Linked DNA regions of Oryza sativa Japonica Group. The main gene of each other region encodes a partner of the protein of the gene in region 2 in a complex. Links are inferred from orthologs where the notes say so. Each region holds a gene or a part of one and is shown on either strand. Other genes may lie near its edges.

What was found. Proteins that work in one complex are often made in the same cells at the same time.
Region 1: mediator of RNA polymerase II transcription subunit 8 (region 2) and mediator of RNA polymerase II transcription subunit 30 share a complex: the UniProt entries of both Arabidopsis thaliana proteins name them as parts of the mediator complex. The link is inferred for Oryza sativa Japonica Group from reciprocal best matches to the Arabidopsis thaliana genes MED8 and AT5G63480.

Annotation. Positions count from the first base shown.
Region 1 is NC_089038.1:19,468,543-19,473,243, forward strand, and holds mediator of RNA polymerase II transcription subunit 30, read right to left. Parts: upstream 3,572-4,701; 5' UTR 3,502-3,571; coding exon 3,085-3,501; intron 2,656-3,084; coding exon 2,578-2,655; intron 902-2,577; coding exon 803-901; 3' UTR 432-802; downstream 1-431. UniProt on the Arabidopsis thaliana protein: Component of the Mediator complex, a coactivator involved in the regulated transcription of nearly all RNA polymerase II-dependent genes.
Region 2 is NC_089037.1:18,127,244-18,132,008, reverse strand, and holds part of mediator of RNA polymerase II transcription subunit 8, read right to left. Parts: intron 4,645-4,765; coding exon 4,577-4,644; intron 4,257-4,576; coding exon 3,996-4,256; intron 3,788-3,995; coding exon 3,734-3,787; intron 3,635-3,733; coding exon 3,428-3,634; intron 3,277-3,427; coding exon 3,150-3,276; intron 2,375-3,149; coding exon 2,208-2,374; 3' UTR 565-2,207; intron 303-564; 3' UTR 177-302; exon of another isoform or gene 32-176; 3' UTR 1-31. UniProt on the Arabidopsis thaliana protein: Component of the Mediator complex, a coactivator involved in the regulated transcription of nearly all RNA polymerase II-dependent genes.

The DNA of each region.
Region 1 (4,701 bases), on a different chromosome or scaffold from region 2:
GATCTATCTAATGTTCTGAGTAAATTATTGTTATTTAGGAACACTTTACATATGTAATTCGAGGGGAAATAATATAATGTTCTGAGTACATTATTGTTGCTTAGTAGGATTTGATTATTGCATTCTGCCATTTCCCATGAAATGCTGTATGACTTGGGCAGTATGGTATATCTGTTGGTTAACCTGTGACTTGCAGAATGTCCTTGGATGTTTGAAGTACTACAAAAGTTCAAACTGGTAACTACCCAACCCTTAATTGATGGAACAGAAGAATCATGAACATCTGTTATTTCCACATCATGTCAGCTAACCGGTCAGCTTCTTGTCTTGGCGTATTGGTCCTGTTACTCGAAACTTGCGCACATATGGCAGATCAATTGAAGGTGTTTGGCCAAGTTACTATTAAGCAAAGCTTTACCTCGCCAAAGAAATTAAGATTAATCATATGTATTACTATTTCCATTGCTTGTGAGGACACAAATATCATCATGCTCGACAAAGGAAAAAGTGTACAGAGGTCATGGTTGCTCAAAGAGTATACAGAAGTCTTGGAAATGAAAGCAAGGCCAAATTGGTGGGAAAATATACACCAGATGTTTGTTTCAGTTACTAGCTACTTCGTGTTTATCACTACTCATAGTACACTTTCTGAATACTTGAAAGAAAAATCATTACAATATTGTATTTGCAAACTGATTGTATCCCTTCAGATTTCTCTCTCAAGGTCAGCTGATACAATTTTGCATTAACATACTTCTAGCTATGATTTTTGGATTCCTAAAGGATAAATGCCGATGAGTTTTCACACTGAGCAAGGACTCTGCCACATTGATATGTCCGATATTAAATCATGGAGTTGGTCGATAAGGAGCTTTACATGCTTGTTTTTGCTTTCAATTTCCTGCAGTAAACATCCTGTATTAGACTGGTTTACGGTACCAGAGAACAGTATGCCACATTACTAGGTTGAAACAAAAAATGTATTATATATGTCAAAAGCGTGAGGACTCAAAACTTCCACAGACCATGATACCACGGGCATATATAGAAATCTGAACTAGGACACATGGGATCAGCTAATTGAGATTGTACTGACCAGTGTATGTTTAAAATGAAATGCTTTGAACTTTTTAGGAACAAACTATGTAATCGAGGCATTAGAGAACACTGTTTGCTACATAGTTATTAGAACTAGACCAGACCAGTGGTCCGATCAGAAAAAAAGGGAACCAGGGCGTTGGCTGGTCCAGTCCAGCTAAAAGATCGTTGAGCAAACAGACCGGCAAAAACCCATTGAACCGGGCGGTTTTCTGCAGAACCAGACAAAAACCGAAGGTGGTTCGACTGCTGGAGGGTGTCACGTGGAGTTAGAGAAAATAGGAAAAAACCTGCTGAACTGAAGATCGAACCAAGACCTCCTTGCTTCCACGGAGAGTCTCAGCCGGCTATGTCACATGTTGTTCTAGTATTCTAACACACATCTATTTGAACCGCTTTAAACCGGCGGTTTGACTGGTCCGACCAATAAACCAGTGAACCGAGTACCCTAACAGTTCGATCACCGGTCCGGTCTTAATAACTATGGTTTGCTACACTTCAAACATAGGAGTACATGAAAATCACTGATCTCAATAAATCATACAAATGGAACTGAATAAGCCACAAATCCATTTTTCTATACACATTTATACACATCAAGGAGAATAATCTGTATTTATGCTATAATGATCTAGCATAGATAAGGAGTAGTTGAGACTTACAAGGCCATTACAGCCAACAGCCCTCCAAAGGATGAAAAGGATTTGCTAAATAGTCCAGAATCCAATTAGCATCAAAGGTGGATTTGCAAAAACTTACTCCCTCTGTCCCAAAATAACAAACCTAGTAACAGACCCCTATCCAGATTCCTAGTATTAGGGTGTGTCACATTCCATACTATGTTTATTTATTTTGGGACGGAGGGAGTAAGTTCTAAACTAGCAGGCAAATCCAAGTATGCAAACAATAATGACATGCAGTATCCAGTGCAGAAAAAACAATGATAAGATAACAACTTAACAAGCATGAATATTGCCAGGAAAGATCAAGATGGAACGCTTTTTTGACGAGTTCAACAGAATGAACATGACTATCCAAAACACTACAAGCAACACAGTATCACAGCTTGCCAAACTAGATCCTGGCTATCTAAAATGGTTTCAGGTAAAAATTGGGGATTACACTCTTCTCAGGACTTTTTGAATTAAAATGATTGAAGCATAAAAGGAACATATATATATATATATATATATATATATATATATATATATATATATATATATATATATATATATATATATATATATATATATATATATATATATATATATATATATATATATATATATATATATATATATATATATATATATATACACACACACACACACACACACATTATGTTCAAAACAGGTTGTTTGGGAAATATTTGGGATTGACATGGCTAAATAAGCACCAGTTACCAACTGGTTCAGGGAAAAATTCTGAATACAGCAAAATGATATTGATTATATTGCTAGAACATTCCCAAGATAGTACCTTTCTCAAAGCAGATGCATGTTCTTCCAATCTCTCAATCTCAGCTTGATCAGCTTTGTGTTCTGTCGATCCCATCTCCTACGAAGAAAACCACAACATCATTACAAAGAAGTAAACTGTTATGAGGTTTCTCCATAGCACCATATTTTGCACATCAGGATTACACTTACTGCTAAAAATAGAATCATATAAAACTACTATTTTTGTCTCATGAACATTGAACACTAAAAGCTCATGTTGATTGAAACATATATATAGTCCACATCCATGTAGTCCGAACCTACATCACAACATCCCTTACATTCCCTTACATTGGTATCAATAATAAGAAATTTTCTTTTGCAAAAATTATTTGGCTCCCTTACCTATGTATAAGCACCTAACTTGATATCAACAAAGAGTGCAATACGTTTCACAATTTCCACTAGACGATCACTAGAAACACGCATTTCGTGGTTGCATACATACTACGGGAGCATGCAATGTCGGGTAAATTCGTGTGCTGACCTGAGCACAGGACGACACGGCGGCGATGGACGTGCGGAGCGCCGCCATGGCGACCTTGTACCGGTGCCTGGCCTCGTCGAGCGACCCGCCGGAGCCCGGCGCGCCCCCGGGCCCTCCCCCGGCGGCGTCGGCGGCGTCGGAGTCCGCGGAGTGCAGCGGCGGCGGCGGCGGAGGGAGACCGCCGTGGTGGTGGTGGTGCTGGTGGTGGTGGTGGTGGTTGTTGCCGTGGTGCTGGAGTCCGCCGGCGCCGCCCGCCGCGGCGGCGGCGGCGGAGGAGGAGGACCAGAGCGTGGGGTTGCAGAGCTCGTCGTTCATGGAGGAGAGGATCTGGAACGCGGCGGCGATGGTCTCCTCCAGGTGGCGCTGCCCCTCCGCCGCCATCTCCTGCCGCCGCCGCGCCGCCGCCGAGGAGGCCATCGCCGGAACCCTAGCCGATCTGCTCCTCCTCTCGTCGGCGCTGGCTGTGAAGTGAACTAAGCTTAGCTTCAGAGCCCAACATAGTCCAAAAGCCCAAAGGATATGTTGATTTTGGGCCGAAGCTCGAAGCCCAGGCCTGGCCTTATCAGGGCCCTAGTATTTGAGCGGAATAAGTCCAATTTGTCTCCCTCGACTATAGGTCCAATCTGATTCGTTCTCCCTTAATCGCAAACCGTGTATATCGAACCCTCGGCTATTAACACCGGTGAATAAAAAAACTCTTTTTAGTTATTTTGAGGGTGGTTTTCGTTAACGTGGCTCATTGAACTGGTCTAACCGATTAAGTCAGCATGTGGGACCCACATGTCGTCCCCTTCTCTTTCTCCTCATGCTTTTGTTTTTTCTTTTCTTCCCTCTCCTTTCTCCACGCGGTGACGAGCTCAAGCATGAATAGTGTCAGTGACTTAGACGACAAAGCCACCACCGACACAACCAACTAAGCTTGGTTCTGTTGGCAACCTTGTGGAGCAAAGGAGGGAAGGGCCACAGCGGTGATGGAGAGTCGGAGAGGCCCAGTGCTGCCGTAGATGTCCTCTTCATTGTGGGCTCCAACGGTTGCCACACCGAGGCCCCTCACTGATCTGGACAAAGCCGGGTCCCATCAGTGTTTCTCCTTCACAGATCCGAGCCTCAAGCCACTTCCCCTTCTCTCTGTCGCCTCCTCTAATCCGACGTCCTTTTCCCACCTTCACCTCTATCAACGCCTCGGTTAATAAGGCCTAGCAATGGACAAGGATGGTGATTGACCTCGCTGTCATCGAGATCTAAGAGTCCTTCTCCTTTATATGTTGTGGAGCCATACATGGCAATAGTGAGGGAGAGAGAGAGGAGGGTCACGTGCATATCTCTGCATGGCCAAGGGATAGCCACCACCCGTCGGAGGACAAGGGGTAGATGTCGACGAGCTCTTGTAGTCATCATTGCCACCGAGGGGGAGGTCATCCTCGATGGCTCGCTGGAGCACGTCGTCCATGTCGTTGACCTTAATGACAGACTCAAGCTGTAGGCAATGGCGAGCACATGCCCCCTATCCTTGGTGGGCGTGGCAACCTTGTTCCGCTACCGTTCTTGGTGAGGGCAACGAGGCAAATCCAATGAGGCAAGCGAGCTCGATCTTGATGAAGCTTCTCCAGAGATAGG
Region 2 (4,765 bases):
CTTGTTCTGCTACCAACCACCTGAGGAAGCTCTACCATATATACAAAATTGAAATGTTAGTTCTCACAGCCATCCATTAATGGAACCCATCTACAGTCACACAAAAATATATAGCTCTAAAGTAGTAGGACCAGTGAAGTAGTGAGCCACACAGAAGTATCATGTTTACTGCATACCTTATTCTTGTCTATTCGCGTTTCTTAAGTGCAAAAGCCTTCAGAAATGATGTCCAAGACTAAATCATGTTTTCCTGTTTATTGGATTTTTCTTTTGTGCTCCAATTGGCTAAGAAGCAAGGTCACCTGAAATGACAAACACTAAATCAGACTATATATGGCCCAATAGAAGTACAGAATAAATATATTTAGATAAAAGAAAATGTGAAAAAGAAATTAGTCAACAACAATTGGCAGCAAATGAGTGAACTCATCAACCGTGCAGTGAATCAAATGAAAGACCATAAGGGACGACAATCTAGTAATTGTTGATGATCACAGAAATAAAGAAGAAAAATAAGAGGCAGGCAGCCCAACAGCAACAAACGGGCTTGATATGGCTATTTACCCTGTCATTGCAGAAAATTGCAGTGTAGGGTTTCATGTATTTTCCATTTCAGTAAGAAAGGAACTGTTATTTTTCGCCTGAATAAAAAAGATAAGAGACCAGGCATGGTTGAATTTGCTCTATGTAAGATAATCTGCAAGATATTCAACATGACAACTATAATGTTAGTATGTATGAAACTGCAGCACCAATCACGTAATATATAGCCTGCAATTATCCACAAAGGTAAAGAAGAACCGAATAACATAACTAAAAGGAGATGCATACCATTAAGCTTGAATAAGAAAATTCAGCTAGAGAACTAATGGGGAAAATTCACAAAGAGGAAAAAAGGGGATTGAAAAGAGTCGATTTGAGTTGAATCAGGTATCACCAACATAAGAGAGGGAGGCGCACGGCTGGGAGGCCTAGCTGCTGAGTCTATCCTCTTCCAACGGTGGCAACACTGGAGGACTCACAGAGCAGCGACAAAGATGGAGGCTCAGTGTCGGCGGAAGGCTTGACCACCGTGGCTCGACGGGGTGGCGTCGCCAGCGGAGCCCTGGACCACTGAGGCACCGATTGCAGGGCGATGGCGGAGCTGCGACGCTGGTGGGAGGATGCACAACCAGGGCGAGACGGGGCAGCGGCACTGGTGGAAACCCTGGACCACCAGGATACTGATTGCGGTGACGACGGCGGCGGAAGTGCGGATGATGACGGATGGCGCAACAACGTTCAAAGGCGCGGCGGCGGCGTTATCGTGATTAGGGGAGCCACCGCGGGATTAGCGCGATGGAGCCTTGGTGGTCCACGCGTGGGGAATTTTGTGAGTTGCCATGGCGCGATTTGTGTGGCCGATGGGGAAGACCGCGGCTCCGGCTGTGGAAGGGGACGATGGCGACGTATGGGCGGCGGCGTCCGGGCAGCGGTGGAAGGGTACGACGGCGGCGTCTAGGCGGCGGCGGAAGGGGACGATGGCGGCGTGCGCCACGCGGGGAGGAGCGAGGAGGCGAGGAGGAGAGGGGGAGCGAAGCAAGGGGACGACGGCGGAGCGGCGCCACGCAAGGAGGAGCGAGGAGGCGAGGAGGACCGAGGCGGAGTGGAGGAGGCAACGACGACGATTGGGAGAGCGCGTCGGATTTGAGGATTTGTCGTTGCGGCGATGGATTGAATGCGGCGGAGGCGGGGTGCGCAGCAGAGATGGCACAGGCTCGCGCGTGGACGGTGGAGAGGATAAGGTCGCTATAATCATTGGAATCGGTGGAGCAAGGAGGATAGCGAAACGAATTGACGGTGGAGATGAGATGAGATAGTAGATGGACGGATGAGATGGGAGGTGATTTCACATGTAGGATTGCTAGGCACAACTCCTCCTTTTTATATTAGTATAGATGAGGCAGATTTACCATGAAACCCTTAAATCAATAGAGGACCGCATGAAGACATAAGACATAAGCATCCATCATTATAAGATAGATACAGCCAGCTGATATCACCAAACTAATGTGTCCATTGGTGATGCCCTGTAACAAGGAAGAAAGCAGCAGTTGCTGCTGTGCTATTTGGCCAGCCACACGACGTTTTGCCCTCTGCTGACGGCATGCATGGACTTAAGATATGGAAAATTCTTCCTCGGCCTAGCAAAACACTACTTGTTTGAATCATTGCTGGTTTTGCTGCCTCTGCTGGGGAAAGTTGGGATTTTGTGTCTGGTTCTGGAGGCCTGTCATGCCTTGTTGCAGGTTCTGAGCATTTGCTTGCATGTTAAATTGCTGCTGCTGCTGCATTCCCATCATGCTGGTAGAATTTGCGCCTCCCATACCAAACACTGTAATGGAGAGAATCGCTCGGTAAATATAAATATAACATTTGAAATAGTGAGGATTGAGGATAACTTCCTCACAAATTATTAGTACGGGAAAAGAATAGATGAATGGACAGTTCTAAATCATGAGCATTTAAAGACTTTCAACTAGTACTATTTCCAATACCACAAAGCTAGTGACTTGCCTGGACAAGACATAAATCTAGGAGATATAAAACATATATAGAATAACAGCATGCTAAAAATTTTACCAGAAATGCCCATGACTGTTTGTAGGTACAAATGTAACTACAAATATTGTACCTACAAGCTGAATCCTGCCTAACCTCACAATAGGATAAATAATCAGGAGCAATATATTTTGTTCCTCTGAGCTATGATCAGCATGTGGATAAATGCAATACCCAGTAATAATTAGCACATATATCTTCTGAGTTTACTAGTACCAAGTATGACAGTAACAGAACCAGCATAGCAGATAGTTGTATATAATCTCTCTAACAACTACTGTAGCTGAATGCCCATGCTTTGCTACGGCTAAAAGAAAATGTATTAATGTGTTACCAATTTTTTTGCTATAGGGAATATTCATCTTAATCTACTCTTTTATGTGGCTATCCATTTAGATTTGATCTTTAATATTAAGAAGTTCAAGGGGTAACCGCAAAATTTACAATGAGTAGATGGGGGGTGGCAGATTCACTGCCACCACCACTACCTTCTTTTAAAGGAGTATAGATAGTAAACAAAATTAAAAAGAATATAACACGGCACATACTTTGGTCAGTCAGCATTTGGGATGGATGGCTCCTTTGAGGATGCCCACCAGTCAAACTGTACTGATTAAGGCCTTGCATTTGTGGCAAAAGTGATTGTGATTGCATCGACCCAGGTATATTTGCCATCTAAATTCAAAAACAAAAATAAACAAGTTATACAAACATCAGGGGATTATTAAAAAGAAATCTAGAAGATAGATGACACTGAACAAACTAAAATATGTAGCAACTGACGTTTTTTTGCACTAAATTACTAAAAAGGAGGATGCTATCTAACCATCTGTGAGTTCGAAGATGCCTGTGCAGCAGTAAACATTGCACTGTTTGCAGCTCCAGTGAACTGGCTAATATGACTTCTTAGCTGATTTCCTTGGTTCAGTTGACTCTGGGACATGCCAGGTTGCATGCGCCCAGCTTGCATCTGCCTATTCTGATACTGTTGTGACAAGGCTTGATTGTACTGCATCTGCTGTTGGCCAGGGACCTATAAGGTTTTACAACAAGTTAAAAGGTTTGTAAGAAATTGTTACTGTTTCAGCAAGTAGAATACATAGAAAAGGGAAACAATCAGTGGTAGAATTACCTGTAATTTTTGTTGGGATTGGCCCTGCAGATCTTGTAGCTGAGGAATTGCGCTCTACAGGAAAAGTATGGAGAATCAAGCACTAGAAAAGGAAGGAACAATGCTTTGAAGTAAATGAAATGGAATAATTTTAAGACAGCAGCATAGAAAATGAAAAGAAATGTGCTTTTAATAGCTACATAACCTTTGGGTGCTGTGACAACTGAGATGATAAACCGTAACCCAGACAACAAAAAAGCCTCCGAAATAAAAATTACCTTACCTGTGCTAGCATCCCAGCAGCCGATGGTCTTAGTTGCTGTTGAGCATGTAGCTGCTGTTGCTGAGATGTTTGCATCAGTTTTTGCCTATGTTGTTGTGCCGTCAAATGCTGCTGGGGTGAAGGGGTGTTCATCATATTGGTCCCTGACCTAGGGGAGTTTGCATATGGCATTGGAGGAGTAGATACATTTTCAAAATTAGGCGTTCCTGTAGCTCCAGGTGATGGAGCAGGTCTGCCAAGTAACTGTCCTCCAGACACCTGCTATTAGAATGAAGGCCCAAATTTGAACATCAAGATAGAAACATCAAAGGCCTGCATGAGGTCAGGTTGGTGATTGCTCTTATGAAATGCAATTGTCTTAATAATAGTTCAAGGGAAAGCATTCTAACCAACACTTAATACAGTTGATCATAGAAAGGAATACCAATATACCATTACAAATTATATGGCAAATTGATACACGGGAAACAAAACATCTGCCTTTTGTAACTTTTTTTGCTTTCAGCCCAACTAGCAATAATATGGACATATTCTATTAATTTCGTAATGGTCAAAGCTGTTATTACTGGCACTAGACAAACCTGCATTGGATTTCCCTGGGCGTTGACAACATTAGGTACAAATGTTGAGGTATTTTTGGGGTACACACCTGCAAGTATAGACTCTAGTTATATGCTTTTGTTGAAGCATTGTGTGACATACAGACTGCACAAATGGCAACACTAAGGGTAGCAGCAAGTTATTGATTATTTTTATATAAAAAAACATCT